Astyanax mexicanus: one gene and its partner. The protein of the gene in region 2 interacts with the protein of the main gene of each other region in a pairwise test. Links are inferred from orthologs where the notes say so. Each region holds a gene or a part of one and is shown on either strand. Other genes may lie near its edges. The genes, in order: rev1 and poli.

Region 1 (16,701 bases), on a different chromosome or scaffold from region 2:
ACACTGTTCTCAAACCAGACTTTTGCAAGCATAATAACAGTACAAGTAGAAACTTACATACAATTGTAATAATGCATAAACAACAAAAACAAAAGAAAGAAATTTTATGAAAATTCAAACTGAAAAATATTCCCCACAGACTGTATGTGCAAGACAAGGCCTGTCAAGTATCAGTAAAAAGTTTGGACATACCCTTTCCCAAATTGTTTTTTGTCTTTATTTTTTTTATTATTTTCTACATAGTATATTAATATTGAAAACATACAAACTATGAAGTAACACATTTAATTATGAAGCCAAAATCTGTTTTATATTTTAGATTCTTCCGATTAGCACCTCCTGCTTTGATGCCAACTTTACCCACACTTGGCTCTATTCTTTCTGTCAAAAGAATAGAACCTGGAATGGTTCTCCAATTGTCTTAAAGGAGTTCCTAGATGTGTTGAACACTTGTTAACTGCTTTTCTTCACTCTGCGTTCCAACTCTTATCAACTCCCCTGCTTTGGGTTTTTTATGGACAGGTGTTTGCATGTATTCCTTTATAGTTTTTAAGTCTTAAATATTAATCTACAATCTTATAATACAAATAAAAAACAAATATTAATGAGAATGTGTCCACACCTTTGACTGGTACTGTGCATAAATATGTCTTCGCTTGCTGCTGTCAAAACTGTGTATAGCAATGCTGTTCTTAATGAATTGGTCATTATGCAACATGCAAAATATTGGCAAAGTTTATTCGTAAAACAAACAGAAGAAAACCACAATCGGCGATTTCAAGGTGGGCAAAAATGATTGAGGTGATGTACAGTGCACTCCAAAAGTAATGAAACAGTGAGGCCGATCCCATTTCTGCTGTAAACTGAAAATACATTATATTACAAATACATGAAAATGACATCAAAAGATATATAAGACAATAGATCAACATTTCACTTTTTATTTCCAGTTATTATATCTGGCTCTGATACACAGTTCAGAGGATAGCACCTTCTGTCTAAACCCACTCATTGTTCTTGTGAGCAAAAGTATTGGAACAGATTAACTTAAAGTAAATTAAAGTGAATAAGACTTTATATTTAGCTTTTGCAAATCTGAAACTGAGAGTTTATTGTTTGAATAATTAATGTATCAGGACACATCTGGGCAACAAAACACACCTGACAGTCACATGTTCCAATACTTTTGCTCACAAGACAAACGGGTGGGTTCAGACAAAAGTTGCTATATTCTGAACTGAGTATCAGATCCAGATGTAAATACCTCAAAATAAAAACTGAAATGATGATATTTTGTCTCATATAAATATTTTAAAGTCAAATTCATGTCAATCTACAGCAGAAACAAAGGTTTTGACCTTACTGTTCCAATACTTTTGGAGGGCACTGTATATCTTTTGTACAGTAAGTCCATAACATAATTATAGTGACAGGCCTATTCAAGACTATGCAAGTATGTTCAAAAATAAAGACGTCCCTCTGACCTGTGTATCCATTAACATAGATAGCCACTCCACTGAAGATGCTGGATGAGGCTCCCCGATTTTGTTTTTCTCTGGGAGCATCCTTCTGAAACTGCTCCTGCAGCTTAGAAACCTTAGCAGCCATGTAGCCTCCCTGTATCCAATCATCCATCCATCCATCCATTCATTTACAGGAAGACAATAAACAGACAAGATAGATTTTGTAAACAGTAATCGAAACTCATTCATACTTCCAAGTTTAGAAATGGAAGGGCAAGCCTGAGTTGCTGAGAATAGCTGGTAGAAACACAGAGACACGCACAAAGAAAGAGCTGGGCAGTGTCTGGCTGACAAGCGTCTGATTACGCTGCAGACATTCAATGAGACTGGAGGTGTGAGCCTGCTGGCACAGCGACTCTGTCTCCATGGCAACGGACAGAACGCTGGGATTCAGGAGTTGAGTCTAAACCAATAAACAGACAAAAGAGGGAAAAACCCAGCACACCGGTCCTCTGCAGCTACAGTACCTCCATCCCAAAATCCCAAAATTCCTTCAGACCTAATTAAGCCAGTCAGACATTCAAAGACATAAATTTAATTAAAGTCTCAAAATACACTCTGGAAATGCATATCTGGAAAATCCAGGCCTTCCATACAGACCACATACTAGTGCTGAGCGATTTTCATTGACAATTAATTTGGTTTATTTAAATTACTGTTTAACGCTAATTTCAAAAAGGGGTACATTGTAAATTTTTAAACAGGGGCATCTCTTAACCCTGATGCCAAGTCTAACAGCAGACAGGCTTGTGCTTCTGTCAAAAAACTGTATAAAAAAAAAAACTCTTATGTAGCAGTGACTTTTATAATATATCTGAAGGTTATATTTGTACCACATTTAATATAAAGCTGCTTGCAAGGTGGAACATATTCAATTAAAAAAAACTTAGAATATATAAGCAGCTGCAGCAATGCTTTAGCCAGAAAACTAAAATACTGCAAATACATGTACAGTAACATCTCAAGACAAACTTGTGTACTTGTGTAGGGTGAAGGCTTTACTTTTGAGTTTACTCACCATTAGAATACACATGAAAATGTCTAGACAACTCCAACAACTCATAACACGCCCCTCCACACCTAAAATTAACTGGAACAAACATTAAGGCACATTTTTGGAATGCAGTGATCTTACCCGTCCTCCCCAGCCATCATCTTCACTAGCTTTCTTCCTCCATCCATCTCGACTCATGCTGAGGAACCTGAGAAAGAAGAAAAGATGCCAGATTTAGGCTGGTACCCTGAAGCTGTATGGTACCACAATTACACCAATGTGTTTTCCCCTCATTAAATATGTGTGTCCTGACATTATCGTATCAATCTATGCATCTGTTCAACTACACCTACTAAAAATACTTTTATGCAAAAGTAATATGTTTAAATGAAATAAGATACAACTATGATTTCGTACATTTTCATTATGTGGCGGTATAATTGATAATTTATGTTCCAGATGTAGGTAAATGTAACCTTGGAACTTTTTTGTTTGGATGATACACTGTCCCAGAAGTAACTAAGGAAAATAATATTATTGTAATTTTAATGTCACTTATATAATGCAAACATAATAGCCTAATAAAGCAACTGCACACTTTTTAATTTTGAAATATCCAATAAATAAAGCATACATAAAATAAAAACAATGTTTTTTCACAAAGGCCCCATACAAAGGCACAAAATATAAATGGGGTCTTGTCTATAAACTGTACAATAACATAATGATCATGGCAGAACATTAACACAATGCTGCCACCTAAGCTTAGATTATTTAGGGTAAGCAACATATTACAATCAGAAATATATCCTAGTCATCAATTTCTGGAAACATTAGGCAACAAATGAAGAGTCAGTTCTTGAGTGTGATGTGTAAAAAGCAGAAAAACTGCTAAGGGTGAGATCTGTTGTGGTGGTACAAGGGATTTTTAGACAATATGAAGCAGGTGGTGCTAATGTTATGACTGATCTGTGTATACTGGCAGAACTAAATCCTAGTTTAGAAATAAGACAGACAGACAGACAGGCAGGCAGGCAGGCAGGCAGGCAAGCTATCAGACAGAAAAATGCCTCTCTAATTCTACTGTAGACTCTTATCTTCTTCCCTCGATGGTATGGAATGCTCCATCCAAAAATGCAGGGGAGTTTAACACCTCTGCTGGCAGCTTATTAACAGCACACTGATGCTGAATGAGCTTTGTTAGAAGGGAACCACCCCCTTTCTCTTGCATGTCACTGTTCAGCCTGCTCTGTTATGCTGCGAGTGTCCTCACTGCCACATGTCGCACAGATACAGAACCAGACAGCCACACAGAAACACACATCATCTCTCTCTCCACAGGGATCCATATCGACTGAATCTCCATGCCTCCGACTCACACAGACATGGTGCAGACGCTACTGTTCTCATCAGTCAAATACTCTCCTCAGTAAAGTCAAACATCCCTCCCAGGGTCTGTCTCTTTCCTCGCACACTTGCTGCGTTTGAGTGGGAGGTTAAACACTGAGGCTGGGAGCACTCAGTGAACTGCTGGGTTTCACAGTTTCCTCACCAGAGCAGATTTAAGCAAGATATCAAGGTTTTGATACCAGCAACAACAATAAACAAAATTTTATCTGTACCCAAAATGCTGCCTCTGTGATGGTTTAGGTATGCACTGGGCACCATGCTAAATAGTGAGATAGAGACTTGAATGTTTATGTAGCGGATTGGGTTTTATGGCTCCACTTTTAATGAAGCCAAATATGTACAGTATATCCTTATCAAACTACTCTACTAGCCCTAAATAGCATCTGTGAAATCTAATGAACAGAGTGAAAGAGAAAATCGAGAAGCAGACCCCTGGACTACAGCAAAGGGCCTGAGATCAGATCAATTCTGTTTACAGCAGCCATCAAGCCCATTTTGCCAATATAGCTGCACACCTCATTGAACGTAACACCCCAACAACCACCACATTGCACTGCACAAAGCACTGTTCAGTCCCACTACACATCCCTGACTCTCTCTACATAACCCCAACTGCTGCATCTGACTTTACTGAAATTACATTTAAAACATAAGTAAGAAAATTCGGCAGGCTCTTTGTTAATTGAAAAAATAACTACAGTTCAATCGTATAAAACATATAAACAAATAGCTAATGTGAAAGAAACATCCCAAATCATCTGATACATTAAGATCACAACATTAAAAACGTAAAAAAAAAAAAATAGTAACAAAATCTATTGGACTCAAGAGGAGAAAGTATTTAAATGTCTAGACGGTACCAATTACAACTGCATTCTGAATCCAGAAGATGTTCATGTCAGTGATAAATGATCCTAACCTCATTTCAATCTCCATTAAAACACTGCCTCAGCCTCAAAGTGGCTTAGCAAACTTAATTCCTTTGTCAGCAGCCACAGTATCAACACGTCTGCCTACCGTCCAGACCACACATCTTGTTGTGCCATGAATAAAATGATGCCTAATCACAAGTTCTGGGCAAAATTATGTCAAATGAATTTTACAACCAACAAACATTTTCACTGATTATTTTACACACAAATAATGAATGGATATTTTCATGTATTTCATGCACCATTGCATTTTTCTTAGCTTTTTTTTTTTCTTTGCTTAGCTGTTTAGGGTGTATTAGCATTAACAGACATTTTAGCAATAATTACTAACAAAATGTATTAAAATAAGTAATATAAAAACCATACATGGAAAATTATTACATTTCTTAGAGGATCTAAATGTCGGTTCTCAATTAATTCCCTAGCCAGGCACTCTGGAATCTTATTTTTTAATCTTGGGTTTTGTGATCCTGGCAGTGTACTAAGCTGTTAGTGACTGGCCGCCTAGTGTTATACCCACCATTGATTAAAAAATAATTATAATTCAGGTATGTAAATTTCATTTAAGATACCAAATAAAGACCTCTTTTAGGAAACTATAAATTAACACAAGCCAAATATCAACAATATCTTAGTTGGACCTGGAGTAATACAAAATAACATTTGGACATGAACTGGACAATAACAAACATATTTACTTCACTGACATTTCAACACACATTATTTTACAACCTATGTTTCTGACTGACGTTCTTTGAATGATGAAATTACCTGAGCTGGCATATTTATTTTTCCGAATATTTTAGATGTTTGTATGTGCAGACCTCCATTGCAGTCATTCTTGCCAGTTTTCTTCTTTCATATATTTTACCCTACTTTTTGAGAGCTTATACTCCCGCACACAAACAAACAAATTAGCTATGATAATAAGCAATAAAGGGTTAAAAAATAAGTAAATATAATTTTTTTTCCAACTAGGAGAGATACAAAAATGTAATATCATGAATTGTTGACATTTTATTGTACACAATCATTCTATTTTTATAAATGCAAATAATGCAAACTAAGAACCATTAAAAACCTAATTTAATAACCACATCTGCATTAATGCAGTACTCATGTAACTATTTAAATCGGCCTGTTGATCCTCGTTGCCCAGCTCGGCTGCACTGACTGCTTTACTGAAAGCAGCACATGCTTAAGGGGTCACCAGGGTCGCAGGTGTACCAGCAGTCTGTCCAAGTTCCCGAACATAAACAAACTGTCACACGCGGACCATAATTCAGCTCTACGTTTCATTGTCCAGCCCACCCGGACACACACACACACACACACACACATAAATATATATATATATAAATAATGTCAGTCACACTGGTTTAATGCCTGACTCGAGCTGCACCAGGACAAGCTTGGGCATGCCAACTACTGACCTGCAGGACTGAGTAAGGTTACTACTACCGGGCGGACTGACGATGGCGGTCATATTTAAACACATGTCCAGAGCGAAGGGTGACACTGGATAATATATATAGAGAGAGCTGGGTTAGCGGACAGACAGTGCTGTGTGTAGTTGTTAGCTCACATAGCCAGCTAACGTTAGCTAAATCAGACAGGGGCCGTTTAGGTTATGTTGGGTTAGCTAGGTTAGATTAGCGAGTTAATTGTTCTCTAAATGAGCTGGAGCGGGCTGGTGCTGTGGTATTCAGATTAAACCGAGTTAATCTCCAGTCAGACAGCGCTGTAAACACACAGCACACTTTCACACACCAGACCAGAGAACAGAAAGACTGGAGGAAAAGGCAGCTGAAGTCAACGACACATAACCGTTACATAACAACACAGCTACGACACAGACAAACACAAACAAACCGCAGCGGCTCTTATCCAGGTGTGTGTTTGGACTGTGGGCTGTCTCTCTGTTCGTGTCAGGGGCTCTGAATCATCTGAAAAGCGAATACTGCTGCTCACCTATTCTCCCCTTTTCTACCGGATAATCGACTCCGAAGCAGCGCGCCGCTGTTTCCCAGGCTCCGCCGAGGCGTCCACTTTAACCGTTCAACAGTGTTTTAACCCAGTATTAACGGAACAGCCGCGCAGACACGGGTCTTTGGATATCGAGAGCATGTTTTCGGGGCTTCAGAAGATTCCCTCTCCCCTCATAATCTCCGCTTTCCATCGCCAGGCGCCGTTCAGCGCTCTCTGTAGCCCCTCTCCTTCCTCCGGCTCCTCCTCTCGTTGTTTCCATTGAAGCTCCGCCTCCTGCGCGCCAGGTCAGACTCTCCGGGCCTGCGCTGCCCTCACAGCGCCACCTGCCGGCCCGTGGCCCACATTACTGTTGTCGCAGTGGCTAAACTGAATATTTACAAAAAAACCTTTCAGATTTCAGATTAAATAAATAAATTAAAAAATTAAACAGCATAAAAAGATTTAAAATTCAGATCTAATCACAATAAGACATAACAGAGTTATATAGAGACTTATATGCCTAACGTTAATGTTGATCTGCCCTAGAGTGACTGTCAAAGCAAAGCACAAACACTGTGCTGCCCCCCGGTGTTATCACCGTGCATGTACAGCTGGAAGTCCCAACAGGCTGTCAGTCTGATACAGCTTAATTTTTTACCTTAGATGTAAGGCTTTATAATAAAGTCAAAAGTGCAAATAAACAAAAAGTATAACATCTACCAATGCAATTATATATTTTTCCAAATTTACACAACAAAACTTTTCATTTTGCACAAAAGTTTCAAAACAGAAATTAGATGTTTAATTGTGTAAACCTTGTTATTCCAAATTGTTTTGGAATGATCTTTAAAGTTATTGTTTAAATAAAGCAGACTACAGGGTATATATATACTGTAAAGGTGTAGTTATTGGTTTTTACTGTAATGTCTGTACTGTTTTATTTTCTCACTTGATGAGTGTCTCATACATGTCCTAGTAATAAACAACTCTGGACGTGGTTAACATAAGGCCTCTGTTTTGTACAGTAAAGTTTTAATTAACTCTGTATTGTAGTGATGGAAAAAGTTGGCCAAAATAGTTCCTTTGGCCATGTGGTTCTATCAGCTATCATAGGTGTTTAGCTTAGGCTTATGTCACATTCTCTCATTTTCTTTGAACAGCTTAATGATAATATGCACTTTAGAGGAAGAAATACGCAAATCCCTTTCAGTCTTCATGAAACATTGTTTTAAGATATTTAAATACATTTGTGATGCATTTATTACAAAGTGGAGATACTCTGCCCATCTTTCCTTCTCAAAGAGCTATTCATGGATACTGCTTTTGTACCAAATTCAGATTATAATCATCTGTTGACATCACATGTTTAAAATCACATCACACATGTTTCTTACCTCAGAACTAACTCTAAATTTGTCTACTTTCATGTGGTTTGATAAACACTGATCTTAATTAGATCCCACTGCATCCTCTGTGTGTTTTACATCCTGTTGGTGTGTTGGTTCACTGATGGCTGATAGTGGAGATTCTGGGATGTTAGCAGGAGCTATATATCCCTAGAGGGTTGCAGCTGGATGTTGATGATTCTTTGGGCACTGTTAATAGTTTGTTGCTGGATGTGTTTCTTCACAGTTTGTGGGTGGTTGATAAATTTGACTGAAAAAAAAAATCTCAAAATTAAGTCATGGAAATCACTGGGTTATATTGTACCAACCCTTATCTTTCCAAATCTATATATGGTCTTATAATTTTTTTCTTGAAATTTACAGTCTTTACACTCTTTACAGTCTTAGTAAAAATGGGTATAATATGATAATGTACGTTAATTTATCCTGATTCTTTATCATTACTATATAAAAGTATAGCATTGCTTACATGCAAATATGTTACCTTTTGCATTTTTTTTTTATTATCTACACACATAGGAAGACGTTTCATCGAAATCTTTCAATATACTTGAAATTATTTTGGGAATACCTTATTATAAAAGTGCCAAAATTCTTGTAACCTTTGCTGGCACTATTCCTCATATGTCACATAAAAAAGTTTATGATAAATAACCAAAATCCTTAATTTCTTTAAAATCCTGAATGTCACACCCTATGACAGGGGTGTCCAAACTTTGTAAACTCTGTAATAAAACAAATAATAAAATATACCACTTTAAATAATACTTTTTTCCTGATTATTTCATTTACAGACCATTTTACTTGACTTACTATCTTTATCTTTGACAATGTTGAGAAAATTAATATTTTTCAAATTGATGTTTAATTTCATGATGTCTCTTAATATTTAACTCCTTAATGATGGCAACTTTTAGACTCTTTGTCCCGTTTTTCTGCGCTAGAAATGTGCATCCTCTCCGCTTTTTGACTCTTTGGCCCGATTTTCTGCTAGAAATGCACACCCTCTCCGCTTTTAGACTCTTTTGCCCCGTTTTTCTGCGCTAGAAATGCGCACTCTCTCCGCTTTTAGACTATTTGGCCCGTTTTTCTGCGCTAGAAATGTGCACTCTCTCCGCTTTTAGACTCTTTGGCCCGTTCCTGACACCTAGCATTCAAACTTTGAATCTCACATTATAAAAACCTGCTTAATAGCGGGCCAACTTTCATTCTATTTCTAAAATACCTCGCGGGCCGCTCCAAAAAAAGAAAACGGGCCGCAAATGGCTGTGGATGTATTGCTAAAATCAGTGTGCCACTAAACATTGTGACACATTTGGCTTCTACTTAAAGAAACAAACAGAAGAACCATAGGTTTATGATACAGTGGACTGCAATTGGGTAAGATTAAACTTTTTCTTTTGCATTCAGAAGTCTGAGTAAGTCAGTGAATCTGCATGAATGAGTGAGTGTTGCTGTTTAAATATTACATTTGTGAATAATATACTATAAAAATGTGTTAAACTAATAAAATATTTAAAACACTTAACTATTAGCTATAACATATGTATCTAATAGCATTATTTATGTATTTAAATTCAGTTTATATCTTATAGTGTGACAAAATTGTTATATGGTGTGATAAGAAAACCCTGTCACACCGTATGATGTGTTAAATCATATGACGTTTCATGTACTTAGCATGAGTTTAAGCAATGTGTCTTTATGCTAGCATCATAAAACCATGCTAACTACAATAATGACAATATAGTTTTAAAGGTAATATTGACTGAAAAGTAATTTATTTGGCATTTTTGTGTAAAATGTGTCACAACATATGACAGTGCAAAATGGAACTGAAGCAGGAGTGCTAGATATACTTGATTTTTCTGAAAACATAAAGAGCGATAACACATCCTGTAACTTTAGTGTCCTTCTGAGGTGTTGTTCTTCATCCTGAGAGAAGGAGAACCCCCACTCTCTTAAGGTGTCCAAACAATAGCCCGTTTAAAAAAAGGAGTATGGCATCACCATATGACTTTTATTTTTGGGACAAAATGTTTTTGCTAATGGGGGCTCTAAAATATTATGCCCAAACTTTTAGCAAAGCAGACTCATAAGTAGACATCTGGTTTATTATGTGAGCGTTTTCTGGTTTGCACAGCACTTTCTGAACAATATTATCACAGTTTTTGACATATTCTTCTATAATTTACATATATTTGACACACTGAATGAAAATAAGGCCATGTCATGTCAACCACCCGTGAACATCTGGTACACTAACCTGATGCTCCAAACCCTGCAGCAGTAGAAAGTGATAAACAGGTCTTTCCTAGAGTTTATTTTCTTGAGTAACCTCTACAAACACAATTTTAGGCTGTTTTAAGAAATTCTCCTACGGGAGCATCCCCCCCAGATTTCAACATATACATCTATAAGGGCACTCGTAGTAGTAAAAGCACTGATGATGTGGATAGGCTGGATTAGGACTGACCTCTGTACCAGTGGAAGCACAATGAGATGAGTTTAATTTGGAATAAACTGTACAAGAACACAGTGCAATGAAATTACTTTCCTCCAGCACCATGGTTCAACATGAGCCAAGCTCAGTTCCATTTCTGTGTGTTGAGGAGTCAGACCGCCTGGTGGAAGAAGCTGTTGCAGAATCTGGTAGTGGAGGCTCGGATGCTCTGTTATTTTCTGCCAGACAGCATCAGAATGAAGAGAGTGTGAGGGATAGGTGTGGTCATCCACAATGCTGGTGGCTTTGCTAATGCAGCAGGTGGTGTCGATTATTTTTATCTTGGAATGAACTATGGCAGTATTTTGGAGTCTCTTGCAGTGAGACATGGCATATGCAGTATACAGACAGTATACAGTATACATATGCAGTATTGTCTTCTCATTCCTACTCGTCAGTCCTTGCCACACATTATTTTTTTTAACATGCTTTCACTAGATTTTTTGCTGTCCAGAGGCGAGTATATTGAACTGTAGCCTGCTATTAACACCGGCTAGCACTATTGGAGCAGCATTAGCATTAGCCACTAACCACGCCAAGCACTAGATCTTTGCTGTTCAGAGGCAAGTATATCGGCCTGTAGCCTGCTGATAACCCCGGCTAGCACTAGCTCTTTCACCGGTCAGAGGTCAGTTTTATCGGCCTGTAGCCTGCTGATAACCCCGGCTAGCATTACTGGAGCAGCATTAGCATTAGCCGCTAACCACGCTAAGCACTAGATTTTTTGCTGTTCAGGGGCGAGTATATTGACCTGTAGCCTGCTATTAATCCTAGCTAGCACTACTGAAGCAGTATTAGCGTTAGCTGGGTCCTTTGCTGTTTAGAGGCGAGTATATTGAACTGTAACCTGCTGCTAACCCCTGCTAGCACTGCTGGAGCAGCATTAGCATTAGCCGTTAACCATACTATGCATTAGATCTTTTGTAGTTCAAAGGCAAGTATATTGGCCTGTAGCCTGTTGATAACCCTGGTGAGCACTACTAGAGCAGCATTAACATTACCTGCTAACCACGCTAAGCACTAGATTTTTTGCTGTTCAGAGGCAAGTATATTGACCTGTAGCCTGCTGATAACCCCGGCTAGCACTGCTAGAGCAACATTAGCATTAGCCATTAACCACGCTAAGCACTAGATCCTTTGCTGTTCAGAGGCCGGTATATCAGACTGTAGTCTGCTGCTAACCCCTGCTAGCACTGCTGAAGCAGCATTAGCATTAGCCACTAACCATACTAAGCACTAGGTCTTTTACAGTTCAAAGGCGAGTACAACGGCCTGTAGCCTGTTGATAACCCTCGCGAGCACTGCTGGAGCAGTGTTAGCATTGTTTGCTAACCGTGCTAAGCACTACACCTTTTGCTGTTCAGAGGGGAGCATATCGGCCTAAAGCCTGCTAATAACCCCGTCTAGCACTGGTGGAGCAGCATTAGCATTACTTGCTAACTGTGCTAAGCACTACATCTTTTGCTGTTCAGAGGGGAGTATATCAGCCTAAAACCTGCTAATAACCCCGGCTAGCACTGCTGGAGCAGCATTAGCATTGTTTGCTCACTGTGCTAAGCACAAGATCTTTTGCTGTTCAGAGGCGAGTATATCGGTCTGTAGCCTGCTGCTGACCCCGGTTAGCACTGCTGGAGCAGCATTAGCATTAGCTGCTAACCACGCTAAACACTAGATCTTTTTCTGTTCAGAGGCGAGTATATCAGCCTGTAGACTGCTGCTAACCCTGACTAGCACTGCTGGAGCAGCATTAGCATTAGCTGCTAACCACGCTAAGCACTAGATGTTTTGCTGTTCAGAGGCAAGTATATCAGACTGTACCCTGCACGTTTACCGTGTTAAAACAAACTATGTGGAATGAACTGCTAGCTAATATTGCTTACCGGAACACTCATGGTTCCTCAGTGTAGCACTGTCAGGTGGCATTTAGTAGCGCTAACCGTGGCATTTTTTTAAAGGAGAGAAATGTGTGTAGATTAACATTCAGTGCTCCTTTGAATTTAAAAGATTTTTTTTTTAAGAAGTACAGTTTTGTTTACTAAGCTTAGCTTTACCACATCCCTCCCCTGCACCTTATAATCCGATTCGCCTTATAGTGCGAAAAATATGGTGGTTGTTAGGGTAAAAAAATAGGTAAAGCACTAAACACAAACAAATGTAATCTTATGGAAATAACAGGTGAAAACTTTATAGATTCCAGTAATAAATATTTTAATGCAAGCAGATTTTTTATGAGGTCATGCAGTGTACCATCTTGGGATGCTTTGAGTACCACCAGTGGTACCCATACCACAGATTGAGAACCTCTGAATTAGACTATGCATGGCCAGTGTTATGTCTCCCTCTGCTGGCATAAGTGGGGATTGCACCAGCCATGTGCTTTAGTAGCTTGGCTTCTCACCTGAGACCCATCATGACAAGATACAGCAACAGCTCAAGTACTTCTCACTGTCTATTTTGTGTGTCTGTGTTGTTTAGTCTGAGTGTTGTTAGTCTTTTTGATTTCTGACCTCTTGCATAGTTCTGGGACCTGATTATTTTGCCTCTGTTATATCTGCCTGCCCTGACCCCTTTGTCATGTTCTGAGGCTTTCTTTTTTGTCTCTGGCTTGTCTCTGTGCACTGTCACAAAGACATGTCAGTCAGCAGTACAATTACATTACATTTTATTACCTCTATTACTTAAGTAGCAGTGAGTAGTTTGAGGAGAGAATATTCAATCAAAGTGCTCCCAGAGTTGAGTAGATTAATCTAAGGCCCTGTGCACATTAAAAATATATATTTTTAAATACAAATGTTTTTTTTTTTTGCATTCAAAAAAATATCTTTATCCACACCAGCACAGAAACACAATACCACTCAAAACGGCAGTAAATTGCCAGCCCAGTAAAGAGGGATTGTACCTCCTAAAAAATTACATCAAAACACATGTTGAAGAAGAGAACTAAGAAGTGTACTCTAGAATTAAATTGAATAAAAAAGCCGTACATGTGTTATGAGTCTGTAAATATGACGAAAAACATTGTTCTCATGTGAATGGCAGGCAAAAAATATTTTTTGAAAATATCCCCAAAAAATATCTGTAAGAAAGCAAATTAGCTATTCATAAGCAGCTTTAAACTAGGACTGGCAATGCATGCCATTCATTTGGAAACTTTTTTAAATTTTTTTAATGTTTAATTTTTATGCGAATTACTAATGTTTCCAGAGCCTGGTGATGTATTAGCGAATCTAACTGCAAGTTTTCTATTTTCAAGTTGTTGAAGTGGAATATAAAGCTACGCTAGCTTTTCCTCCACAGTTGCTCTCAGATACATGCAGTAACTTAGCACATCAAAATATTCTAATGTAAAAACATCACAACAACCCTTTGGTGTCCAGTAAATACAATATAATGTAATGTAATGTCATGAAAGTCATACCTCACTTCACAATTTTTTGTCACCCTCCCAAAAAGACAGGAACATATCAGCAAAAAAAAACTAAAGAAATAATAAAAAATAATGATTAAATCACAGAATATTGTGGTGATAAATATATTGCCATTTTTAAATGATGAAAGTCTGAAAGGCATGGCATACATGACAACACAAAATACAGCGAAATACCAGCATTTAATATTAATTAAATTAATAATAATTTTAATCATTATTTAATCACAGAATATTCTTGTGTAATGCAAAAATATAAGTAATAGACACTAATAATATAAATAGATTTTGCCAATCTAACCCTGCTTTTTCATTTAAATACTCATTATTAAAAGCTTAGTCTTAAGAACAATAAAGTGTGATTAATCACAGATTTCTGTTGTGATTTTGGTGAACTGATACTTACAGCTGTTTTGTCCTAGAATCATGGACTATTGCCTTTATATTAGGTTGTTGCTAAATGCAATTAAAATGAACCCTGCAGAATGAATAAATTCTGACATATTAAAATGTTCCACAACTTGCAAAAGAGGAATTCAAAACGAAATCAAAATGCTCACAAAGTAAAAATAATGAAACAGAAAATTAATCTGTTTAATTATAATTCTATTTGTTTTGAACAAGCAATATGAAATACATTCAGCAAATTATCATTGTTAGAAATAATGTTGAAATGAGAAATTGGTTTTCTATTGGTTTAGCATGATATTCAGTCTAAATATGCAATCAGCAATAACGTTATTAATCTAGCTTACTTTCCTAACTCAAATTTACATATTGGTAAAAAAAAAACTAATGTGCTTCAAAAAGGAAGTAAACATTAGTACTAAAGTAACAGCTCTCTCACTCAGGACTACATCACTTAAATCTGTGCAGTGAGCATCAGAACATCTACACTAGCAAACAGCTAATGACATGCACCATGATGCAGTTTTATACAGGAATTTACAGACTCAGCTGATATTTAGAGTAAGACAGCACTTTAAATGTAAAAAGAAAGCACATTTAATCTAAAGAGACAATCCATATTACAGAAAAACATTACAGAAGCGCTTCACAATGATGCATTAGCTAAATCTGCTTCAATTGGTTCATTTAGTGTCAGTTTTTTGTCATCATGCTACCATGCAAGTAAACAGTAGGGGTGTTTACTTGCAATAGACAGTATTGTTATACAATGAGCAAAAATTAATATCCTGAATAAACACTGCCTGGCTAAAAAAAAGTCAGCACCGAAAAAAAGGTCATGCACCCTAATATTTCTTGGACCGCCTTTAGCTTTGATTGCATTTTCTGTAAGGTAAGGTAAGGCAAGGTAAGCCTTTATTAGTTCCTCAGTGGGGAAATTCACAGTATTACAGCATCATAGGGATAGCAAGGCACTCAGATAAAAGAAACAGTTCAGTATATAGAATATAATCAATACAAAATCTAGCAACACTTTGCTAACAGAAAGTACTTAAAATGAGGGAGAAAGTCAGAAAAAAACAAAAAAAAAAAACAGGACCTGCTGCAACAGGTTGCCACCTCCACAGCGCCATCTTGTATATATCTTATAGTATAGTGCATTTTATGTAAATTCAGAATTATTTTCATAACTACTTGAAAGATTTGTTTTGTCTATATGTTGAATTATACTTATGTAACATTTAAAAGCATTTTCTCATATTATATTGTATTTCTCCTTTTTTTAAAACTTGTGCCAACTGTTATTAAGCCTAAAATATAAAGTAGTAACATATACTTTTCACATTTATATTGCAGTGACCTACATTCAGAAGTGTTTACATTCAAAAGTGCTACATACAAAGTTAAAACACTTTAACCCTTTTATAGGTCTTGGAATGTATACAGGCTACAAGTGTAAATGATACAAAAACCCTTTTTTCTGCAGTAAAATAGATTATTCACATTCTGAAAACTTTGAGGGCTTTAAAATCTACTACAGGACACTTGGAGAAGCTGCCGGTCTCTCTCTACTTTACTTAATGATTCCAGATCAGTAACAGGAATCAACCCAAATTCTGCATGTTTGGTAATAGACATAAAAACTAGACAACTGTAATGAAACTAAAGGTTTGGAGGAAATTAAATGTTTATTTTGTATTAAAAAAAATACTGATTTTAAAATGTTTAAAAAGTTTCGGAAAGTGACAATTTTATGATTGTGATTTACTTCAGTTTTGTTTATCTTTTCTATTACAATTACAATTAGAATTTGTAGTAACGTTTATTATCAAACATGACATTTGTTATGTAAAGCTTGAATAAAAATCCTCAAGATTTATATGAGTAATATCAGGCAGAAAATTCACATAAAAGGCTGGTCTGTTAAGGGATTAAGGGAAAAAAGTGGTGATATCTAAGTATGAAGCTAGTGGCAACAAAAATACCATTCAAGTTCTAGTCAGGTGTTTGGCTCAGTTTATCTGATAAAACACTGAATTTATAGGAAAGTCTCAGGCATTATTGCTCAGCTTGTCTCAGGGTGATATCACCTCACTTAGCTTTTGCTTCTACAGTTATATTGTACTGCTT
Region 2 (16,936 bases):
GTCTTATAAATAGAGAGGCTGCGGGTCTGTTGCACCTGTTATGATGTTTTCATTCCTGAAGCGTATTTTTAAAAGACAGATGACATCGAACCAGATCCAGCAGCAGGGGGACAGCGGCGCCTCCCCCGAGCCTGGAACCAGTCCTGTGGTACACATCTGCAGGAAGGCATTAAGAAAGAGGAAGCACTTAGATAAGGAGCCTCCTTCCCCTCCCGAAAAGAAGAAGGCCCTTGTAGAGTTTCCTTCCGATTATGAAGAGGAGCTCATGCCCCAGCAAATCCACTGGAGTGAGCTGTATGTAATACCCGGCCAGCCCATTCCCACGCCTCCCCACCTGCCCATCAAACTGGACTGTCAGTGTAAAGAAAGAGGAGGAGATATGTTGAGAAAAAAGAACGAGAGGATTAGAACTAGAAAGCCCCTCTATCCCACACCTTTTTCACCTAAAGACGAAGAAGAAGAAGAAGAAGAAGAACAACAACAACAACAACAAGTCGAAGAAGAAGTCGGATTACCGATATATTAGTAGCAATGCTGGCACACTGCCAACCGGCGCACAGTGGGCGGGGCTAACCTGCCTTGGCGTGTATGTAGGGGCGGGGCTTGTCGCTCGATGACGTCACATGCAGTGGGGGGGCCCCTGACAATTCATTAAATAGGCTGCTGGATCCTGTTGCGCTACAAGATGTATATGTGCAGTTAATATAGTGGGTACCTACTTTGATGTACTACTGAGAAATGAAAATAAAGTGCACATTATCTTCTAAACTGCTTCTGCTTGTCTTCCTTACACTCATGACTGAGTGTGTTTGTTTAGCAAAGGTTTACCATTCATTACTCTGTAGGTAGAACTTGTTTGTATTAAAAATAACACTGCACAATAAGACAAAGTAGCGCAAAATAAAATGGCTTTAAATTTAATGATTTTAAAATGCTGCCTCTGTTTAAAATACTGTAAATATTAAAGTAAGTTCACATTTGGCACACAAACGACCAATCTGGCAACATTGTGAGTCAGATTACGCAGTTAATATCACATGTTTCTCCAGGTAGTTGATTATTAATGTGAGGATTATGTTTGTGAAAAGCGCAAATATAACAGTCAGAGAGATTAATGATTTCATGATCAGCTCTGAGCTTCACTAACTTTCATTTTTCAGAGCTCAGCTCCTGCGTTTACACAGTTTTAAACACAGTTCAGCCAATCAGGTGTTTGAGTTTTACCACTTCTGTAATGTTCATTTGTCAGGAATTAACTTGAACCTGCGCATGTTTAACTACAGGCAGTGTAAATATTTTTTTTCACTAACTCCATTGTGTGCCTTACCTCTAGCAGGTAATGGTTCAATTAGAATAAATCACTCGTTTTTCATTTAAAAAAAGTACACGTGCATACTTTTTCAATGTTTTATTACTTTATTACTTTTAAAAGACAAACATATAAAACAATAGTTTTACATAACATTGAAACATAATATTGCAATTTTGTTTTAGTTTTTACAGGGGGTGTTTTTTGCAAATATTTGAGATGAACGATTTTCATATTATATGTTGATTACACTAAATAAGGCAAGCATAAAGATTTTCATACTGAAAAAATACTTTTAACTATTTTTCCTAGATCTTCAAACTTTAAAACGGGTCAAATTGACCCGGAACATACCAGGAGGGTTAAGAGTACGGAGGACCAAACATGACATAAGTATAGGTAAATAAATGCACATATAAATGAATAAATAAATAAATATATATAAGTAAATCAAATTAAATCAAATGTATTTGTATAGCGCTTTTTACAACTGGTGTTGGCACAAAGCAGCTTTACAGAAACATGATTACAGGACAAAGAATCAGGCAAAAACATTAAACATACAAAATACAGAACCCCCAGTGAGTGAGGGGTAAATAAATAAATAAGAAATGTACGTATTAATTTATTTATTTACCTATACAAGTATTTATGTGTGTATTTATTTATTTCACATTTATTTATTTATTCATTTATATGTGCATTTACTTATATATTTTTATTTATTTAAACATTTATTTATTTATATATATTATTTATATATATATATATATATATATATATATATATATATATATATATATATATATATATATATTTTTTTTTTTTTTTTCTCCCAACATTTATATGTGCATTTATTTATTTATACTTATGTCATATTTGGTCCTCCATATAAGAGACCAGCGCGAGCGCATGTTAATGCATCAATTTACTCAGCGTGACGTCATGCAGTAGCACTGCTGGCACGCTGCCAACCAACGCTCAGTGAGCGGGGCTAAACTGCCTTGGAACGCGCGTGTGTGTTTGTGGGAAGGGCACGTTCGATGACGTCATCGAGCGGTCTTATAAATAGAGAGGCTGCGGGTCTGTTGCACCTGTTATGATGTTTTCATTCCTGAAGCGTATTTTTAAAAGACAGATGACATCGAACCAGAACCAGCAGCAGGGGGACAGCGGCGCCTCCCCCGAGCCTGGAACCAGTCCTGTGGTACACATCTGCAGGAAGGCCTTAAGAAGGAGGAAGCACTTAGATAAGGAGCCTCCTTCCCCTCCCGAAAAGAAGAAGGCCCTCGTAGAGTTTCCTTCCGATTATAAAGAGGAGCTCATACCCCAGCAAATCCACTGGAGTGAGCTGTATGTAATACCCGGCCAGCCCATTCCCACGCCTCCCCACCTGCCCATCAAACTGGAATGTGCCCATCAAACTGGCATATGCCTTCCCTCTGAAGAATCAGGAGGAGGGGAGGAGGAGGATTACCAGGAGGAGACAGAGGATAGCGGGGAGGAGACGGAGTATTATGGGGAGGAGACAGAGGATAGCGGGGAGGAGACGGAGTATTACGGGGAGGAGACAGAGGATAGCGGGGAGGAGACGGAGTATTACGGGGAGGAGACAGAGGATAGCGGGGAGGAGACGGAGTATTATGGTAGTGGGGAGGAGGAGGAGATTGTAAAAAGGGGGGTGAAGAGGAAAAGAAAACTATGCGATGAGTAGGAATGAAGGGGTAGGAGCAGTGGCGTGCAGTTCTCCATCAGCAGCTGGAGTCAGAGAGAGAAAGAGAGGGAGTACAGTAGGTCATGCTGTTCCTCCATCAGCGGACGAGGCGTGTGCTAGTCTTCACCCTTCTGATGTTTGGGGCATTACTAGTGATGGGAGGAGTCCTAATACCTTGGTGCGATAAAAAAGACCTAGAGAATTAGAGAGGAATGAAAATAAAGTGCACATTATCTTCTAACCTGCTTCTGCTTGTCTTCCTTACACTCATGACTGAGTGTGTTTGTTTAGCAAAGGTTTACCATTCATTACTCTGAAGGTAGAACTTGTTTGTATTAAAAATAACACTGCACAATAAGACAAAGTAGCGCAAAATAAAATGGGTTTAAATAAATAATAATAATAAAAAAAAATTATATATATATATGTATACACGATTTAATGCAATAAAGGAAAATCACGCCATTCCACAAAAAAGCAATAAAGGAAGTGCCATTCCATAAAAACGTTCGATGACGTCATCAAGCGGTCTTATAAATAGAGAGGCTGCGGGTCTGTTGCACCTGTTACAATATGATTTCATTCCTGAAGCGTATTTTTAAAAAACAGAGGACATCGAACCAGAACCAGCAGCAGGGGGACAGCGGCGCCTCCCCCGAGCCTGGAACCAGTCCTGTGGTACTGGAGATATTTCCTTCCGATTATGAAGAGGAGCTCATGCCCCAGCAAATCCACTGGAGTGAGCTGTATGTAATACCCAGCCAGCCCATTCCCACGCCTCCCCACCTGCCCATCAAACTGGACTGTCAGTGTAAAGAAAGAGGAGGAGATATGTTGAGAGAAAAGAACGAGAGGCTTAGAACTAGAAAGCCCCTCTATCCCACACCTTTTTCACATAAAGACGAAGAAGACGAATACGAAATAGAATAGAAATCAAATAAATTCCCAAAACAGCAATAATAATAAACAAAATAAAACATTAAAACACACACACACATATATATATAAAGTTTTGTTTTGTTATTAACGATGAGGGCGCGTCTTGACTCATGAGGCAGTAAGAGGCCGTTTCGGATGTAGTAGTAGCAATGCTGGCACGCTGCGAACCGGCGCACAGTGGGCGGGGCTAAACTGAATTGGCACGTGTGGGCGGCCGGGGCTTGTCGCTCGAAGACCTCATAGGCAGTGGGGGGGGCCCCTGACACTCTATAAATATAGGCTGCTGAGTCCTGTTGCGCCAGAAGATGTTTTCACAAATTTGGAGATGGTTGTTTGGAGAGGAGGCCGACCCTTCTGCTCCCGAGGAGAAAGAGGAGGTGGAGGTGGAGGAGGAGGAGAAGAAGGATCTCGAGTCGGAGATGGATTATTTCTGGACGGAGGAGGATTATTACGTGGTGGTATCGGATTTTTTCGAGGAGGAGGAGGAGGAGAAGAAGGCGGAGAAGGAGGAGGAGAAGGAGGAGGAGAAGGCGGAGGAGGAGGCAGAGAAGAAGGAGGAGAAGAAGAACGCGGAGAAGAAGGAGGAGAAGAAGAAGGTGGAGAAGGAGGAGAAGGAGGTGGAGAAGGAGGAGAAGGAGATTATAAGAAAGGGGATAAAAAGGAAAAGAGAACTATTGGATGAATAGAAACGCTGTTTGTTGGTTCTTCCTGCGGTGGGTTCAGGGGATGAAGCTCATTCAGATCCAGGTTCTGTTTTATTTAAAGTTCTTCATGAACACAGACCCAGGAGCACAAACATCGCCAAAGAAACATGAATAACAGACCCACAGAAATATAACAAAAAGCAAATTTATTTTCAAGACACTTAAGGAGAAGCTGTTAAAGCGATAGTTCAGTACTCCATCAAATTTACACTTTACTCCACTCATCCTCTGTTCAATCCATCTATTCAGTAAACCAGGAGATATGATGAGGAGTTTGATGTTCTGTGATCTTTAGTTGATTAGTTTTACACTGGAACGAGAAAGCTAATGTAGCTAACATAGTCTCCAAGCTAATGTACACCAATTAGCGTGGAGGCTTGTTTATGTTGTTTCTGACACACTCATCTCTGAAATACATGCTAACATGCTAACTGGTGTACATACGTTTTCATCACTTAGCTACATTAGCAATACTAGCTTTATAGCTTTATAGTTACATAAGCAAAACAAGACATGTCTTTGCTGATGAACTACATCTGGAGGAATACATCTATATATGTATATAAACTTGAGTGTTCTGATCTATCGCTTTAATCAGAGCCGCTGTGCTGGAGTTTGGTGGATCAGGTCCGGGTGAGTTTGTCCGGAGGCATGAAGCCGGAGTCCCCCAGCGCTCTCAGAGCCACCCGGCCGCTCGGACGGATCGTCAACCACGTGATGCTTCCGTTATTCAGACCCATCCGCAACCAGCCCTCAGGGGGGAACTGCAGAGCTCTGTTCAGAATTAATATAATAATAATAATAATCAATGTTCAACATATCACTTTTTTATTTACAAAATAATATATACACACTACCGGTCAAAAGATTCAGAACATCCCTATCGTTTAGCCAGTCTATTATCAGTGCTGTAAGACAAGCTGCTTTTAAAATATTTTATCTTTATCTTATCAGTGACTATTACTGCAGTTCTTCTCCTGTCAGATTAATTCTAATTCTTCTCTTCTCTGCTGAAACTGAGACTCAGTCCTTAATCATGTTAATCTGAGCTAAAAGCTTAAGCTGCTGTTTCCATGTGGATCAGCCAGACGTCTTCCTGTAGCAGTTTTTTTATCCAGTTTCCAAGAGTCTTTATTTGAAGGTGTAGGAAACAGTACTCTGTACCGCTCTCTGACTTCATCTGTAATTTCTCAAAAGAAAAGAAAGAACTTCTACTTTTAATAGTAACAGAGTTCTCTGTGTTTTATCTGTGTTTTTCCAGTTATTATGATGATGAAAGTGTGAATATGTTGTGTGTAAGTGTGTAAATGCTGCAGTAAGCTGTCAATATACTTTTTTTAATAATACTAAAATGACAGTTTATTTGTTTACACTGGATTCTGTACCATGTTTAGTTATTTACTGGATCTGAAGGTCCTAAATGGCAAAAATAAGGGAACAATTGGGGGCGTTCCAAAACTTTTGACCGGTAATGTTAATGTACAAAAAGTATTAAATCTTAAAGTAATTAAGTCTTTATGGCAAAACCAAAGATATAAATGCATTAATACAATTTACTACATCAGATTTATCCACCTTATTCTGCCACGCCTACTTTCAAGAGTTAGTTTCTTTTGCATATTAAATGGTTTATAGTTGAGTATTACCTGACTGTAGCTTGCTACTAACCCTGGCTAGCACTGCTGGAACAGCATTAGCATTGGCCACAAACTACTAGCTTTTTAGCCTAGCGATTAGCGACGAAAGCTCCAGCCTTAGTGCTGGAGGAAACTGGAAATCTAAGCTTACTGCAAATAAACGAAAGTGCTTTACTCAACCAAATAAACAGTTTTTAAGAGAGAAATCTGTGTAGATTATCATCCAGCGCTCATTAAAATGTTTTCGTTTACTTAGATTAGCGTAGTATCTTTACTTATTTTTAGTAAAGCTAAGCTAATCTACCTATCTATCTACCTACCCCTATTCCTTACTTGTGTCGCGTAATGAGCCTTATAATCTATTGTGCCTTATAGTGCGAAAAATACAGTAAACAAATCTGGCCCCTCCTTTTCATCGCGCAGAATAAGATGGATAATGTATTTGTCTGTAAACGTCTTTATTTTTTCTATATCATTTCTCTCGCACACAAACACAAAAACACACTTGGATTAAGTTTATATTTTAAATCCAAGCATTTAAAATATAACTATGTTAATACAGCTGCTGCAGAGCTTGGTAATATTGTTTGGTGAATTTAGAATAATTCAGTAATACACCAGAGCTTTGCAGTCTGTATGAAAGCCATACCGTCAGCGCTAACAGTGTGAACGAACACACAGCTGTGAAAAGACACACACACACACACACCTGCACACAAAATAGCGGATGACGTTAGCGTGACAGACGATGATCTCGTAGCTGTCCTCCTTCTGTTTGGGGTCAGCTCGGTGGATGTAGCGCCGGAAAGCTGCCTCGATGCGCGCGCCGTCCTCATGGTACTGCTAAAAGCGGCACAGAGGATCACACACAGTGGCACGTATAACACCCACACACACACACACACACACACACACATACACACACATACACACACATACATACACACACATACACACACATATACACACATACACACAAAGTCGCTCTAAAGCTTGCACTGTTCTAACCAACAATTAAAAATCAAACTTGTCTCAGTATAAATATCTGTGTACTGTTTTAATCAGGTATAAATGTATAAGCATTAGCTTATAAAATCAGCAGCATCAGCATAAACCACAAGTGCACTTTCAACAATTGCTAACTTCAATTTAGAGGCTGGTCTTGAATTAGTGGATATAAGTAGATATAACTGGGTTCCAGTAAAATTTTCAAGATCTGAGTTGAAATAGAAAGCAGACTAACTGATGCATCTTCAGACCCACACTAAGTGTGTGGCACAGGTGTGATACAGGTGTGGTAAAGGTGTGTAGTAGCACTGACCACAGCCTCTGGTTTCCAGTGAGTGACGGGTGGGACGGGCTCTATGGGTGCACCCTCTCTCAGCAAATCACAGCTCACCATCTCCACACCTGCAACACAAAGTAATGAATTACTACACTCAGTATTTCAGTATTATTACACTGTAATAGTACTTTTTACAACATAAAAACACCAGTTACTATTACATCACACTTTCAAGTATTCAGCCATTCTCACAATTGATATGAAGGGCTGGTACAACAACAGTATTTTTTCTGGACGATGCATTGGTTTAGAAATTATTGTAAAGGTTAATAAAGGTTGTTGTCATTTTAAAGGACTGATTTTAAGATTTTCTGCCACTGCAATAATAACAAATATGTATAATTATTATCAGCATAATTATATAGATGCAGTATATTCCCTTTTAAAGAGCAACACGTTACCTGATTAATCGGTTCTCCTCGATAAGTAAAATTGTTTACTGTTGTGTTCATATATTGTACAATAGATCAATAACGTAACTGTCACATGCCTACTGATGTGACAAAAGAGCTCTGTTCCGAGGGAAAATACATTGTGGCCAATCAGAGCACAGCCCATGGTGAAACACTTATTATTATTTAAGTGTGAGTGGGTGGGGTTAACGTGCACTATGTGAACAGGTGGAGATATGTGAATGTACTATTTTTGTGACATCACAGAAACATTTTTCTAGGTAAGAAACCTTTAAGTATCTCACCTGGCAGGTATCTGCTGATGATGCTGGCCGTCTCGGTGGCTCTGGCCATTGAGGAGTGTATCATCACGTCGTACTTCAGCCCTAAATCTGCCAGCCTCTGTCCCAGAAGCTCAGCCTGCTCACGGCCTGTAACACACACACACACACAAATTTAATAAATAAAATAAAATATAATATAATATATTATAATAAATACTATATAAATAATAATATATATAATAAGTGGCCAGTGGTTGGGTGTACCCAGTGGAGTGAGTGTTCTCTCCCGGTCTCCGTTTCCGTTCAGGTTGTACTGGGAGTGGCGGATGAGGAAGATGTGGCGGGTGGCTCTGGGTTTGTTGTTCTCCACCTCAGTGCTGTTCTCCTCCCCACTGCTCTCCTTCCTCCTGGGGCTCATCATCGTGGACGGGTCCCTCCTACAGACCGAGAGAAAAGCACGATAAAGCAGAGTCCCTTCCCCTGTGGTGGAGTTTATGTGTTTGTATTTTCATTCATGTGTTTTGGTCAGTTTTGGTAACTACATTTATTTTGAAGAAGGCCAGCTTGAATAAAATCGGATCAGCCCGGGCTGTTTGGGAGTAAACCAGAGCTGTGTGGGGTAAACCAGTGACAAGTAAACCTGTGCTTTGACGGGTAAACTAGTGGTGGGTAAAGCTGTGCTTTGACGGGTAAAGCTGTGCTGTGCCGGGGCTAACCTGTGCTGTGACAGGTAAACCAGCGGTGAGTAAACCTGTGCTCTGACGGGTCGTGTAAACCTGCGCTGTGACGGGTCAGGTAAACCTGCGCTGTGACGGGTCTGGTAAACCTGCGCTGTGACGGGTCAGGTAAACCTGCGCTGTGACGGGTCAGGTAAACCTGCGCTGTGACGGGTCAGGTAAACCTGCGCTGTGACGGGTCTGGTAAACCTGCGCTGTGACGGGTCGTGTAAACCTGTGCTGTGACGGGTCAGGTAAACCTGCGCTGTGACGGGTCAGGTAAACCTGCGCTGTGACGGGTCAGGTAAACCTGTGCTGTGACGGGTCAGGTAAACCTGTGCTGTGACGGGTCGTGTAAACCTGTGCTGTGACGGGTGAATCAGTGCCGGGTTACCTGTCCCAGTTGCTGTCCCAGCCGGAGCCGGAGCTGTAGACCGGCAGGCCCGCGGGCTGTGTGGCGGGGTGAGCGGCGTGCAGCGCGCTGAGAGCGGCTGTGATCGGCGCTTTACTCCGCCAGCTCTCTCCGCGGTCCTCCCCCAAATAACCCCTCCATTCCGCCCACACCACCACCGCCGAGCCGCCAGCCAGGCCGCACACCAGCCCCGCGGCCCTGCGGAAAGCCATGCCAGAGAGCGAGTAGAGTCCGGGAGAAAGTACCGGGAAACGCCGCCGAGTCCGGAGCTACAACACCAGCCGCTCAAACCTGCATGATAAAAGCTCCAACTGCTGCTCCAAACTTATAGATAAATATCACATATAATATCCTAAACTACAAAAATATTATATTTACTGTTTTACAACAAAACAAGAAAAGTTATACAATGAAAATCATTAAAAACACGCTTTATTTCAGCTAATAACGAACTACACACACAGCTACTAACCAGCCAGCTAACGTTAACAGATTAACCAAAATGGCAGACGGGTCGACAAAATAAAAGTCTTCACCAAAGCTAACCAAATAGATTAGATCTTTCATTTAATATAGTCAAACAGAAACTTTTTTCAAACATTTTTTTTTTCAATTTTTAATATTTTACATTTTCTGCCCTTCACAAACAGAATTTCAGGAAAGAAAAAAATAATTTAATAAAATATTTTTTCTTTACCCGATTTTTTTTTCTTGTAACAAAAACTCATAAAGACGTTATAACCCAACCCTACTTTTGTTACAAGACAAAAAAATAACCAAATTACCACCATTTTGCCCTAAAAGATAGTTGTTTCAAAACTATCACGAATAATATTAAGGGAATTAAAGGAAAGAAAGGAAAAATAATTTAAATTTTTGTACTCAATTAAATAATGAGGTATTACACACCTTTTTAATTTAGAATTTATCCTGAAAAAATGCAAATGATAAACATTACACCTCATTTTCTTTTATCTAGTTTTATCTCGTTATTAATTTAATGTAACTGTATTTTTTGTCTGTATGTGGTGAGGTAGTTGTGAGGCTCCGGGCCGGTAGGGGTCAGTGCGGCTAAGCTGCAGCGGCTCCGCAGGTAAACTCGAGTTTATAGAGGAGATCTGTGTTTTTATTCTCTTTAGTTTACCGTTTCTTTTCTCCCTGTAAAATCAGGTGATGGACTCAGGTGAGGAGGAGGAGGAGGAGCCTGGCTGGGCAGTGATGGAGACAGGTATGAATTCTGACTCTCTGATTTTTTCTTTTTAAAGAGCTCTAAACCAAAAACACACTGCAGTAACAGAGCTGCAGCTACAGTCAAACAGCAGATCAGCAGGGTTACGTGGTACAGGTGTTGGTTACTAAGGTGTTTTTGTGTTTTATGGTAATATGTTTGTTTAAATTAAGTTTCAACATGTAATTACTGGTAAATGGTAGAATGCAAATATATTTGGCTTTTAAAATTGTCTCCACAAACATTTGGCTAAATGTTGAAGTCCTAAATCATTCAGCTAAATGTTATAGTTCAAAAACGTTTGACTAAATACTGGAGTGCAAAAACATTTAGCTCTAAAGGTTGACGTCGTAAAACGTTGGGGAGTCCACAAGTCTTTGGCTAAATATTAAAGTACAAAGAATTTGGCACAAGCATTAAAAAACAGAATCATTAGGCTAAACGGTGGAGTCCATAAACACTGGGCTAAATAGAGGAGTCCAAAAAAATAAAACATTTGGTCAAATGGTGGCGAGGTCTAATCAAATATAATTAGGTTAAATGGAAGAGTTCAATAACATTTGGTTAAATATAAGAGTCAAATAACATTTGGCTAAACATTAAAGCCTTAGTCCAAAACATTTGGCTATTTGGTGCAATGCATATATATTTGGTTAAGAAAAATGTGTCCAAAACATTTGGCTAAATGGTGGAATGCAAATACATGTGGCTAATAGAGCTGTGTCTACAAACCTTTGGCTGAAATATGGGGTGTCAGTTTTTTGCCCAAAAGATGTTGTTCTGGTTTCAGGTGTTGTGGGCGGAGCTGTGGAGGACAGTCAGAGGGTCATCCTTCACTTTGACCTGGACTGTTTCTACGCTCAGGTGGAGATGATCAGAAACCCCGCCCTTCGGTCCAAACCTCTAGGTGCTGAAAGCTTCTGTATACCTGTAAAAATACTGTATCGGTTTAGTGCGTTTAATCATTAGTTTAGTTGTAAAGATTGTAGTTTGTGTGGTGTTGGACCCGACCCTGCCGGGGAAAGTGTCGGGAAATCAGGCTCGGCTCGGCCTCAAGCAGAAAATATAAACTCTTCTAATCTCAACCTCTCGTTTCAGGAGTTCAGCAGAAGTACATCATCGTGACGTGTAACTACGTGGCGAGGGAGCGCGGCGTGACGAAGCTGATGGGAGTGAAGGAGGCGCTGGAGAAATGTCCTGATCTGGTTCTGGTGAAGGGAGAGGACCTCACACACTACAGAGACATCTCCTACAAGGTCACAGGTACAGCAGATCCAGCCCTGTTCTCTACTGGTATACTGTACAGTACTGTTTAATATTCCAACAATCGTAGAATAAACTCTTTTAACCCTCCTTATGTGTTTATTTGTCAGGAACATCAATGGTTTTCCCGGGTAATTAATTACTAACTCCATTACTAATTATACTATCAATATTTACTGCAATGATGTTCCTTATTTCTAACAGGTAATGCTTCAGTTTGATTAATTCACTTGTTTTTACATAAAGAAGTTTAATCCTTAAATACTTTTGAAAGACCAACATATAATAAAACACCATAGTTTTACATTTAACATAAAAAAATAACATTGCAATTTTGTTTAGTTTTAGTTTTTGCAGAGGGTGGTTGCAAATTTATGAGATGAACCATTTTCATATCATACGTTAATTACTTTAATGAAGGCAAGCTGAAGAAGTTTCATACTGAAAAAATACTTTTAACTAGTTTTCCTAGATCCTTAAACCTTTAAAACGGGTCAATTTGACCCAGAACAGAACAGGAGGGTTAATACCGTAAATTTCAGAATTAACAATAAATGAGCAGCCGTCCCGTTACTTATGTCCATATGCTGTGTGTGTGATGTATTTAATGAGCTCCAGAGGAGCAGAAGGTTGAGGTGATGATAAGTGATGATGGGTAATGATGGGTAATGATGGGTGATGTTTCTGTAGAGTATGTTGGTTTGTATGAACTGTTATAATCACTACTCTGGCTGAGCATCCACTTTCGCCCGGTCACTGTGCGCCCTTGTGGATGCAGCGGAGCACAGATGCTGAGGAGGTGTTAGACAGTTCTCCAGAAAGAGATATTTAAGCATAAATCCTGAGATCTCTGATTTTGTGTTTGTGTTCAGAGCTGCTGATGTCGTTCTGCCCCCTGGTGGAGCGCCTGGGCTTTGATGAGAACTTTGTGGACGTCTCAGAGATGGTGGAGACCAGGATGAAGGACACGAGTATCTCAGATCTCTCGTTCGTGGGTCACGTCTACGGACACGAGGGTAAAGCCATGCACCCAATCACACAACACTAATCATCAGAACTCACACCACCCAAATACAGTAGGCCTGAACGTACATACCATATTGTATCGTATGTGATAATATCATGACATTGTGATATTTTTGAAAGCATATATACAGGCACTAAATATACTGCACTTAAGTTTTGAGGTAAATTAAATTTTTTTTTCTTGTATTTTTTATTTTATACAAAATCAGAGTTTTGTTAATTTACTGTTAATGAAATAGACAAACGTTTTTAGGCATTTTTGTTTTTACTAAATGTGTAAAACTGTTATATATATTGCAGTACTATATTCTCAATATGAATATGAAATGAAAAACAAAATAAGCCCACCCCTAGTCACCTCTCAACAGCAATGTTATTTTATTCTTTATTTTGTTTATTGTGGATGTAAGCTAGATTAGCGCTGAAGCACGTTTTATTTTGTTTAACAAGTGGAGGTGTACACGAGCGAGTGCAACGTCCATGATAGGATTAGCCGGCTGACTATTGACTATTGTCAGGGTTTAATCAGTCAGTGGCGCACCTGTATTTCCTGCCACCAAGATAGAGACACACCGGATATTTACCAGAATACACCTCACCTCCAGACCACCACGCCCATCAGTTTAGATATATACCTAATCTCTGATGGATGTACGATAGGGCCCAATATCTGTAATGTTGTGTGTCTGCAGCCTCGTCCGTGGGGGTGGGAGATCACTCCAGGCTGGCGGTGGGATCGGCGATCGCGGCTGAACTGCGGGAGGCGCTGAGGAGCAGGCTGGGGTTGACCAGCTGCGCCGGCGTCGCCACCAGCAAACTCCTGGCCAAGCTGGTCTCCGGAGCCTTCAAACCCAACCAGCAGACCACGCTCCTCCCCCAGAGCAGCGCAGAGCTGATGAACAGCCTGAGCGGACCCTGCAAAGTACCTGGTAAACACAAAGTACAGCTCTGGAAAAAACAATAAGAGATCACTTGAAATTGATGAGTTTCTTTGATTTCACCAAATTAAAGAGGAAGATGGATGATCACAAACCATCAAACCACCAAACTGAACTGCTTGAATTTTTTAACCAGGAGTAAAGCAGCATAAAATTATCCAAAAGCAGTGTGTAAGACTGGTGGAGCAAATAAATGCTATAAATGACAATAGTTTTATTTGGAATTTGGGAGAAATGTCTGTAGTTTGTTGTTTTATTCTATAATGTTCATTTTAGTCAAACATAAACCTATAAATATCAATATCAGAGAAACTGATTCAGAAACTGAAGTGCTCTCTTAATTTTTTCCAGAGCTGTATATATAGCAGTGGGGGTAATGATGGTGACCGGCAGTTTCTGGCTAGAAATGTCCATGTGAACAACAAAAAACATCAGTTTCTTCATCCACATTTAATGCAGGAGACTCCGCCCACATATCCCACAGCTCAGCGCTCAGTGTTCTTTAGCTTCTATGGGACACGCCACGAGGGAGTTATTCTATTATTACTGTGTAATTATACACTGATACGCCAAATGTCATGGGACAGAAGCTAGCATTACATCCCATGACATTTGGCGTTTCAGTGTATAATTACACAGTAATAATAGAATAACTCCCTATTCATCAAGAACACACTGTCTTGCCACTTTGTGCATTCACTCACTGGCCACTTTATTAGAAACACCTACTCTAAAGTTTGAAGCTGATGAGATTATTGAAATATACGCTAAAATACGAAACAGTTGCAAAAATTGTTGGAAAATAAAATCCTTATTTTTATAAAAGTTGTCACCAGAGGAAAGCATTAAGGTAACACAGTGGATCAACACCAGCAGATGACAGACATGTCTCTCCAAACCATCACTGATTGGTGGAAACTTCACACTAGACCTCGAGCACTTTGGACTGTGTGTCTCTCCACTCTTCCTCCAGACTGTGATCCCTTGATTTCCTTTAAATGAAATGTAAAATTTACTGATGATCAGTGATGGTTTGATGCATTGGCGTAGGAACCGGGGGGGGATAGGTGGGACATGTCCCACCCAATATTAGAAACAGGTGGATTTGTCTCCCCCAAAAATGACATCTTTTCGCTCAGACCAGCTGTACTATTAATGAGGAGACAGACCGGACCAATCACGAAGCCGGAGAAGCAGTTTGCTGTTGGGAAGCCCCTCCCCCTCGCTGTGAGATTTAGCAGAGGGATCGAGCTGCAGCAGCTTCAGCTGATTTTAAATCAGATCTGGATATACGGAGATTTTACTAAAAGAAAGGTAACGGTAGGCTAACCACTTCAACTGTGATGATCTGTTTCTGATAGCTGGTTAAAAATACACGTATCTGAATCAGCACACAGATTAAACCCACTGTGATTAATAAACTGCAGTTGTGTTAGTGAGTTAGCTTAACTTTGGAATTAGATAGATTGGGAGTCAGGGTTAAAGAAAAAAATAAACTATAAATGTAATGTTCAACTTGCCCTGTACCTGATCAGCTAATTACTGTTTCATTTTCAATTAATTTAGTATTACAGGGCTTACTGTGAGCTATAATGAACGAAAATACATTTAGCTAACTAGTTATCTAGAAGCTAGATGTAGTGGATAGACAGAATGTAGTACAGTACTTTATGTTTGTAGTTTAAAGCAGTTTCCTAACCCTGATCACTGCCCCAAAACTGTGTTTTCCACCTGATCAGCTAATAAACAGTCATTTACTGAGTTTACCTGTTAAAATACTTTAGCCCCCTATAGAGCCTAAATTAATCATGTATATCCAGCAGTGTATTAGACACATTATACCACCACTTACTTTATTAAATGCCTTTAAAGCAGAGGAAGCCATAGAATATGCAGAACAGTGTTAATATTCAGTAGAATATGTAAGAGCAGGGTTGAGAAACACTGCTGTAACGTGACTTCTGTTCATTTGTAGTTCACAGTAAGACCACATGTCCTGATGTTTATAAAAATCTCTATGAAACGTAAAGTTACATTCTTTTACATAAAAGGACACCATCTTAAGAAGAGCTCTCAGTTAAAAAAAAAATAAATGTGCGGCATAAAATGTAAATATACAACAGAATTGACATAATAATAATAATAATAATAATAATAAACAAATCTGTTATATTATTTTAAAATATTAGGTGATAACTGAACATTTTGTCATATGTATATAATTCAGTCATTGCATGCAGTAACTGTAACGTGGAGTTACATGTTTAAGTTGTAAAATCACCTTATAATAATAATTTACTTTTAATTAAAAGTAATTTCCACAAATGTTGTTCTAGGAAACTATAGGGTGGGCCTGGGTTCATATTGGCAAATGTGTCCCTCCCAATATCAAGCCCGCTCCTACGCCCTTGGTTTGATGGAGAGTCATGTCTGTCATCTGCTGGTGTTGATCCACTGTGTTTTATTATCAAGTCTAAAGTCAGTGCAGTTTTGATTTTCCACAAAATCTTACAGCACTTCATGCTTCTCTCTGCTGCTGAAAACTTTTATGGAGATGTGGATTTCATTTTCCAGCAGGATTTGGCACACTGCCCACACTGCCAAAAGTACCAACTGGTCTTGTATAAAATTCTAATTTTCTGAGACACTGATTTTTGGGTTTTCATTGGCTGTAAGCTATAATCATAAACAATAAAAGAAATAAACACTTAAAATAGATCACTCTGTGTGTATTACATCTATATAATATATGAGTTTATATAACATTTTCAACTGAATTACTGAAATAAATTCAATTTCCAATGATATTGTAAATTTTATTTTATTTTATTTTTTAGATATTTAATTTTCTGCTCATATTTATTTAAATTCTCTGTTTTTAACCAGACTTCTGGTCTGCAACCTGATCCACTCCACCCTCTGCTTTATTTGAAACACAAATGAGTATAAATGATATTCATTTCTCACTGTTATAAGCTGCATGCTGTCTGCCATTCAAATCATTTGATATCACTGTCATCTGATCCAGC

What was found.
Region 1: the proteins of poli (region 2) and rev1 interact in a two-hybrid assay, tested with the Homo sapiens proteins (2 studies listed by BioGRID). The link is inferred for Astyanax mexicanus from reciprocal best matches to the Homo sapiens genes POLI and REV1.

Annotation. Positions count from the first base shown.
Region 1 is NC_064418.1:24,900,552-24,917,252, forward strand, and holds the start of rev1 (DNA repair protein REV1), read right to left. Parts: upstream 7,109-16,701; 5' UTR 6,831-7,108; intron 2,726-6,830; 5' UTR 2,716-2,725; coding exon 2,659-2,715; intron 1,618-2,658; coding exon 1,485-1,617; intron 1-1,484. UniProt on the Homo sapiens protein: Deoxycytidyl transferase involved in DNA repair. Transfers a dCMP residue from dCTP to the 3'-end of a DNA primer in a template-dependent reaction.
Region 2 is NC_064429.1:10,969,563-10,986,498, forward strand, and holds the start of poli (DNA polymerase iota), read left to right. Parts: upstream 1-10,488; 5' UTR 10,489-10,545; intron 10,546-10,551; exon of another isoform or gene 10,552-10,622; 5' UTR 10,623-10,625; coding exon 10,626-10,680; intron 10,681-11,470; coding exon 11,471-11,587; intron 11,588-11,778; coding exon 11,779-11,943; intron 11,944-12,815; coding exon 12,816-12,959; intron 12,960-13,661; coding exon 13,662-13,898; intron 13,899-16,936. Other genes in the region: pgam5 (serine/threonine-protein phosphatase PGAM5, mitochondrial), read right to left, coding at 5,290-5,440, 7,013-7,146, 7,625-7,713, 8,346-8,471, 8,589-8,761, 9,435-9,664. UniProt on the Homo sapiens protein: Error-prone DNA polymerase specifically involved in DNA repair. Plays an important role in translesion synthesis, where the normal high-fidelity DNA polymerases cannot proceed and DNA synthesis stalls. Favors Hoogsteen base-pairing in the active site.